2 linked regions of the Xenopus tropicalis genome follow. The protein of the gene in region 1 interacts with the protein of each later gene in a pairwise test. Links are inferred from orthologs where the notes say so. Each region holds a gene or a part of one and is shown on either strand. Other genes may lie near its edges.

Region 1 (3,650 bases):
AGTATGAGTTGGTGGAATATGCAATATATTAATGAAAAAACACATGTGTGCCCACAAGGAGCCCCAAGTAGATCCATCACAAAATACCAAACCTTACAGCATTAATAGGAGGCCTTCGGAAAAAGAAGGGAGCTTTTTCTGTTACGTTGATGCATATGAGGTCCACGTCAATACTAGTGCAAGCAGCCTGGCAGGATAAACACAAAGAATTGTAAAAAGTTTATCAATTACAAACAATACAATTCATTGCAGTTCTCCAGCTATTACATAAGTACGATTCCCTGCATTCTCATGCAGTCATAATGACAAGATACAAGTTCAACTAGCAGGCGAATTCATGTAACTCAGACTTATAAAGCTGGCTGTTGCCATAGAAACTTCAAGTGATATCATTTTGACCCAGGGTAGGCTAAATGAAGAGGTTTATTCCAAACATCAAGCTGGCATAGCTGTAATGGTCTTGATATCACGTTGCTTGAACCATCTCCAGCAATAATAATGAGTTGACGATATCAGGGCAGTACTAGCACATTGTTTGATGCCATGGAGACTGGTTTGGTTGCGAGACAGAAGCACCTGTTACAAACGATGCCTCCATAAAAAGGTAAAGAACACATTAAGGAAATTATGCTTTCAACAAATGGAATGGATCATTAAAGGGGAACTCCGGCTTCCAAATCAAAATTTTCTCAAGAGCCCCACACAACTTAGAAACCCCTAATATACCAATCACTGTATTCCGTTCCTTTAAAAAGTAAAAAATAAATACCATTTTTATGTGCTAAAATCCAGCTGCAAAACAGTTCTTCTCTTTCTGCATCGTTTGAAATCCTGGCAGGAGGAGGGACTAAAACTTTGATGTTACAAATTGTAACAACGTCTCCACTGCTTACAGACAGCATGCGGGAACTACATAACCCACAATGCATTGCACTGTGGTGTTCCTTTTTTTAATGACATTAGATGTGCAGGCAATTGTAAAATTTGGAGGATGCAGGCTGAAGGCAGGCTGAGGACAGTCGACTACTGTTACATTTAAATTAGTCAGCCAAATCAGGAAACAGGGGGGCAGGCTTAGGTAACTGTTTTAAACCTTATTATTACATTAAAAATAAGAAAAAGGCTGCATATTTATTTAAATAATGTATATTGCAAAGTTGCTTGAAATTATTTTTCTTTTCAAAAAGCTCAAGTTGTGTTTGGGTGCTTAAATAATTATGCCTCAATATGAAGTCTATATTTAGCCCTCAGCCCCAAAAAATGTCGTGCAAACAGAACAAGAAAAGCTGACCAAGAGAGATAAATGGCAGTGAGAGCTGAGATTTCCAGCAGCACCATGGGAGTTGCAATCTGACAACAGCTGCAGGTTAATGATCACTAGTGTATTACTGCGCCTGTGATCATCCCTCTGGAATCACAATGGTATCAATCTTCTCAAAATGTCCTACTTACATGAAACAGCTTCTCTGTCTTTGGGAAAACAGCCACAATATCATACAACCGGGTAGATGGTGAGGTTGATCTCTGTCAAACACAAAGCGCAATCACATGTAAATTAGCTAACAGAAATGGGGTTGAAGAGCTTTAAAATGAACATATTTAACTGTAATTACAAGTAATTAAAAGTATTACACAAGAATGTAGTTATAGTCTGTAGTTACAGAGTTGCTAATGAAGCCCCTGATGGACTTTATAAGGATCCTAGTAGTCACCAAGCAACGTGAACATTTATGCCTCTGTGTGAACAAGTCTGCCTTTGCACCAAATATGGGCTTTGCGAACACAGAAACGTTTTTGCAACCATTTCAGACAGTGGAAGAAAGTTTGTGAATATTATTATTTGCGACAATAAGTGCACAGTGTATATAATAAACCTTCTTACTGAAAAACTTGTTAAGTTAGCTCCAAAAGGTTATACCCCTTCAATATACCCCTTCAAGCATGTCTTAAAAGTTTGCAATGCAATAACAGTGTAATTAACAATATTACATTGCAAAATGCAAATTTTTATACTTATTTGTGTGAACTTTTGCTGTTTAAGACTTTTATTACATTCCCCTATTTAAGTGTAGTCACTGATGTAGAAACACAAACCTATGTTGTTGGATAAAGGTTTATAAAGTTTTAGAGTAAGGGTAGCCAGTGGTCACTAGAATAAATGGGTGAATAGAACCCTTGACTTTTTGGGAAGGCCACATAGGACCAGGCCTAGGGTAGCTAAAGCTATTAGTGGTGGAAAGATTCAACCAGCTGTTAAATTGCGCCAGCTGCCGGCCACAAAAGAAGCAAAGAAAATGGGTTGCGCCGATAGAACCTTAAAGCTAATTGAAGAGGGGGATGAAATTGAAGTTGCATGGGACTGGAACTCACAGGAAGTGGCACAGCAGTCACATTCATTAATGCTAACAAAAAACAACATATACTTTTCTGGGGCCTTTAGTTTCCTTTTAACTTTAAGTGCATAGAACAAACCTTAAGCTATTTGCACATGGTGCAAGAATCAGCCGATCGACTGGCCTCTGCTGGCTCTTGTGACTGCACCAAGAGGCAATGCAATGGCCTGGAGCATACAAATGAAACAGATTTCATCACAGAAACAAGAGAATATACATTATCATACCGAAATATGCTCTGTGTGTCTGCACCCAGGCCTCTCAGTGCAGTCACAGGAGCCAGCAGAGGCCATTAGATCAGCTGATTCTCGGCTTGCAATTATACTCAGCCAGTTATAAGCCAACAAGAAAAGACAAATAAAAATGTATTTTAGTTTGCCTCACATAGCAGTAATTGATTTTTTATGTATAGTATTTAGGCTAATTAATGATAATATTTAGAAATGTGTTTATTTAGTGAAACGGTTACTATCTATGCCAGTTTCTACATGGGGCATTTTGTTCACATTATTATTTCAATGGCCTCCACTGTGATATAAAATAAATGGCAATCATTCCAGTGTAACTCTACTAAACAGGTGCACAGGAGTTCTTACATAACAAGTTTAAACTCAAAAGCAAATGCATACCCTAATGTATAACGTCCCTAATAACATAACAATATGAAATAACATACATAAACTTTAAATCTAAGGCTAAGTTGCCCATGATAATTCTTCGATACTATGGACGACTAATCTGCAAATGTTTTCCTCAGATTTATCTCAGGCTTCTCTTATGTATCTTTCTATATGTATAGCTCAACCTGCGCTCAAGTAAACACATACATTAAGAAAACAAGCAACCTACCAGCACATTGCAGTGAGAGGGGTCTGATGCAATAATTGTTAGTCTGGTGAGGATTTTGATGGGTATGGATTTTCCCTGCAGAGATCAAAAGGAATTTTAATTTACTGAAATACATTATTTAAAAAAAAACAAAAAAACACTATCATTTATTTTCCATGTTGCTTGAACTTTTTAAGTACTACAAAATTCTATAAACATTCCTACTAGCAAAAAATCCACCAGGCTGTATGTTCAATAAGCTAAAGAAGAAATATCACGTGCACACCCAGGCCTCAGTACTGTATGCTTGGTGCTCCGTATTTTGGGAGATTGCACTCCTTTTGAAGTATCATGCAAAAATGGCTATTGGCACACAAAGACCCTTGGATTGGCTTTGGGGGTTCAATAAGATGGACAGTTTTGGAGGCA
Region 2 (4,332 bases), on another chromosome or scaffold:
GCTCTCTTCCCCTCTTGTATCGGTTACTGATTGCTTTATATGTTACTCCTTGTAGAGTGTAAGCTCTTTTGGGCAGGGCTCTCTTCCCCTCCTGTATCGGTTACTGATTGCTTTATATGTTACTCCTTGTAGAGTGTAAGCTCTTTTGGGCAGGGCTCCCTTCCCCTCCTGTATCGGTTACTGATTGCTTTATATGTTACTCCTTGTAGAGTGTAAGCTCTTTTGGGCAGGGCTCTCTTCCCCTCCTGTATCGGTTATTGATTGCTTTATATGTTACTCCTTGTAGAGTGTAAGCTCTTTTGGGCAGGGCTCCCTTCCCCTCCTGTATCGGTTACTGATTGCTTTATATGTTACTCCTTGTAGAGTGTAAGCTCTTTTGGGCAGGGCTCCCTTCCCCTCTTGTATCGGTTATTGATTGCTTTATATGTTACTCCTTGTAGAGTGTAAGCTCTTTTGGGCAGGGTTCCCTTCCCCTCCTGTATCGGTTACTGATTGCTTTATATGTTACTCCTTGTAGAGTGTAAGCTCTTTTGGGCAGGACTCTCTTCCCCTCCTGTATCGGTTACTGATTGCTTTATATGTTACTCTGTATGTCCAATGTATGAAACCCACCTATTGTACAGCGCTGCGGGATATGTTGGCGCTTTATAAATAAATGTTAATAATAATAATAATAATAATAATCATTCCCATTTGACTAAATTTGGCAGATTATATAAAGTTTGAACACATGTCTGGGGGTTTGGGGGGTTTTATGTGTAATTACAGTTTTGCTAATGAAGGTGAATTTGCCCTTTAAGCTGTGAGTCTCAGTTCCCCCAAGAGAGCTGTTTAGCTTATTAGTTACAGTTGTATCTCAGTGCAGGGGGTGAGTATTCTGGGCTCTGCCAAAAGCTACTTATATAATTACGTTTGAGAAACTTTGTATCTTTTTTGGGGTTCAGTGCAGGAGAGGAAAGGGAAATGAGGGCTTTTTCAATGGGGACTGCGGCCTGAGCTGTTACAGGACAGTTGGGAGGAATAGAACTCACATGGGATCCGGGCACCACACTCCTTCCCCTTGTCTGTCTCTCCTCTCTGCAGCCCAGCTTCCGGCTTAGCTGGTCACATGCTCCCTCTACGGGTGCCTGACTGGGACAAACCTCTCAGCAACGCACAATCCCAGTGCAGAAACGTACCAAGCAGTGTTTCATGTACAGTAACGCTATGGCCCCAAAAAACTGCTATTGAGACAATTAGTATTTAATCCACAGGGAACAAAATTTGAAAATATGGAAAGGCTCACGTTGGTACAATTCCTCAGGGGTTCTAAATCGGTATATGAAACACTGCTTCATGCGCTTCTGTAATGGGAATGTGCCATTTTGGGAGGTTTGTCCCAGTGAGGCACCAGTAGAGGGAGCATGTAACCAGCTAAGCAGGAAGCCGGGCTGTAGAGAGGAGTGGGAGGAGCTTAAGCTGTGCATGGATCCCATGTGAGTATGTACCAGTAGGAGTGGGAAATGCCTGGGTTCCAATCACTGCCCAATCATTGTTTTCTCTTTATCTTCTGAAGGAAACAGCACTGAGCCCATAGGGCAGGGATCCCCAACCTTTAATACCCATGAGCCACATTCAAATGGAAAAAGGGTTGGGGAGCAACACAAGCATAAAAGAAGTTCCGGGGGTGCCAATAAGAGCTATGGTTGGCTATTTGGTAGCCCCTATGGGGACTGGCAGCCTACAGAAGGCTCTTTGTGACATTAAATTGGGTTTTTATGGAATATAAACTTGCCCCCAAGTCAGTAATTCAAAAATAACTCCCTGGTTTGGGGGCACTGAGAGCAACATCCAAGGGGTTGGGGAGCAACATGTTACCCCTGAGCCACTGGTTGGGGATCCCTGCCATAGGGGAACATACATACATTGTATTGGGGGCTTCAGGGGTATTTGTGTGTGTATATAATGAGCTGCTTTTTTATAATTTAGGGGCAGAGAAAGGGCACATTTTGGTGGGTTTGGGGTTCGTCTTAATTGTGCTCCTACAAACAGGTCACCAAATGGGACTTTACTTTAGATAAAGAGAATTATACTATTTCCTAATTATGTTAACGAGGAAAAGTGTGTTTAATACAAGCTGTATGCATTGGAACAGTGTTAACAAAAAAGAGGGTGTACTGGGGAGTTTGCCTGCAAATGAAGTTTGTTTTATAACATGCAGTGATCTCAGCCAGCCATGCGTGGTTGCTAGGGGAATTAAGTCCTAGCTGCCAGGCAGCTGTTAAAGTTTCAGGCTGCACAACAGAAAAAAACTAAAAACATTTATGCTGTAAAAATGATTTGCCTTACCATATTGCTGTCTACACTGTAATACAGATTCATTTAAAGTTGAACGTCCCCTTTCATTTGTATAATGCCCCTCTGTAGTCTGACTATTGTTTGGGTGCTAGGGTCGCTGACATGGTATTATGTCTCAGCCTACACTGGCAAATGGGTCTGTGCTGTGTAAACACTGGATAGTTATCAGCGCCCATAGCAACTGGGTTCCAGTTTAAATTCCAGGCCAGATAGGTAAATAATGCAGAATGCCGGGAAAAATCAAAACACTGATAAAAATATAATGAAAGTGACCATTGGCATTGAGTTGTCATTGCTCCAGTTCTGTGCTGGAAATAAACAGTTAATATAAAGGGTATATTTCCTTTTATTTGATTTACTGTGCTTCTCCAATCACAACTTTCCTTTATGTACAGGCACGGGAGGATGAGAGAGCAACCCAAACTAGCCGGGCCCACGAGCTATGAGCGAATAGTGCTGAAGAACCCGTCCGAGCACCATTACATGAAGGTTCAGCTGTAAGTAATATATATATATATATATTTAATTAATGCCACCTACTTTATCTATAACAGCACATCCACCCTACTAATATACCCCTTGCACCTTGCAGTGAATTTAATGGAGAAGGGGCCCAGCTCAGTGCCACACAATTCAAGCTACTGGTAGTCTCTGCCCTGAAGAACCTGCACGGAGAGGTAGGTGCCCGACTTCCTCACTTGTAGTCCTTCTCCTTTTTCATACGCAGTAATGCTGTGCATTTGGGGATTAAATTAAAGTGTACCTGCCCTATTTATATGTTTGGTACTTTCCTCTTCTCTGTTTTTGGGAGCTGCATTTACTTTACTTGGCTCGGGCAGTGGAAGTAGACCCTGCGACCTCAGTATTGTCCATATAATTCTAAGGGCAAGTACAGACTAAACTGGAACTAAGCACTATATATATCTATATATATATATATATATATATATATATCAGACACAGAACAATAGAGCAAGATGTAGCAGTCTTCACACTTGGCTGATCCCTTATGTACAGTACAGCAGAATATGTCAGTGCTATTACTTACCCTTAGACCCACTTATAGGCACCAGCCTATGCCAAACTCTGTGCACACATCCATGTTTTTTTCCAAGAGTCCCCACAATTCTGGCTTCATTGTTTACACTGTAAAATGCTTATACCCCCCTGTTAGGCACAAGGCAAAAGGGAGCATGAACGTTTTACAGTGCAAACATGGCTTCCGTCGAACATTTGTATGAACTGTAGTGTCCTTGTTCTACTCCAGGTGGGATCGTCTCTTCCTTTGGATCTGTTGAGTTTTGATGAAAAGACACTGTGTGCAGTACTGAGGGTCTGTAGCAGGTAGGTGGCAGTTAGATGTTGCATGCTTTTAGAATCCTATGTGTTGTTACCCTTAGTTATCTCAGAACACTGCAGTAAATGTTGTTACCCCTCAAATGAGACAGAGAAAGGCCTATTTACTTTATTTATATAACTCTAACATATTCATCAGTGCTTTGCAGAAGTTATATGTTATTCCCATCAGCTCCTGCCCAAGTGGAGCTTACAGTCTAAGGTCCCTATCACATTCCCATCAGTCCCTGCCCAAGTGGAGCTTACAGTCTAAGGTCCCTATCACATTCCCATCAGTCCCTGCCCCAGTGAGCTTACAATCTAAGGTCCCTATCACATTCCCATCAGTCCCTGCCCCAGTGAGCTTACAATCTAAGGTCCCTATCACATTCCCATCAGTCCCTGCCCCAGTGAGCTTACAATCTAAGGTCCCTATCACATTCCCATCAGTCCCTGCCCCAGTGAGCTTACAATCTAAGGTCCCTATCCCATTCCCATCAGCCCCTGCCCCAGTGAGCTTACAATCTAAGGTCCCTATCACATTCCCATCAGTCCCTGCCCCAGTGAGCTTACAATCTAAGGTCCCTATCACATTCCCATCAGTCCCTGCCCCAGTGAGCTTACAATCTAAGGTCCCTATCACATTCCCATCAGTCCCTG

Evidence for each region. The genes of interacting proteins can lie anywhere in the genome.
Region 2: the proteins of rpp30 (region 1) and rpp14 interact in binary tests that used the Homo sapiens proteins (3 or more experiments, as listed by UniProt). The link is inferred for Xenopus tropicalis from reciprocal best matches to the Homo sapiens genes RPP30 and RPP14.

Annotation. Positions count from the first base shown.
Region 1 is NC_030683.2:36,827,724-36,831,373, reverse strand, and holds part of rpp30 (ribonuclease P protein subunit p30), read right to left. Parts: intron 3,318-3,650; coding exon 3,243-3,317; intron 1,525-3,242; coding exon 1,453-1,524; intron 188-1,452; coding exon 98-187; intron 1-97. UniProt on the Homo sapiens protein: Component of ribonuclease P, a ribonucleoprotein complex that generates mature tRNA molecules by cleaving their 5'-ends. Also a component of the MRP ribonuclease complex, which cleaves pre-rRNA sequences.
Region 2 is NC_030680.2:148,464,576-148,468,907, forward strand, and holds the start of rpp14 (ribonuclease P protein subunit p14), read left to right. Parts: upstream 1-1,388; 5' UTR 1,389-1,475; intron 1,476-2,732; 5' UTR 2,733-2,742; coding exon 2,743-2,834; intron 2,835-2,929; coding exon 2,930-3,014; intron 3,015-3,604; coding exon 3,605-3,681; intron 3,682-4,332. Other genes in the region: protein SCO2 homolog, mitochondrial, read right to left, coding at 1,032-1,033. UniProt on the Homo sapiens protein: Component of ribonuclease P, a ribonucleoprotein complex that generates mature tRNA molecules by cleaving their 5'-ends.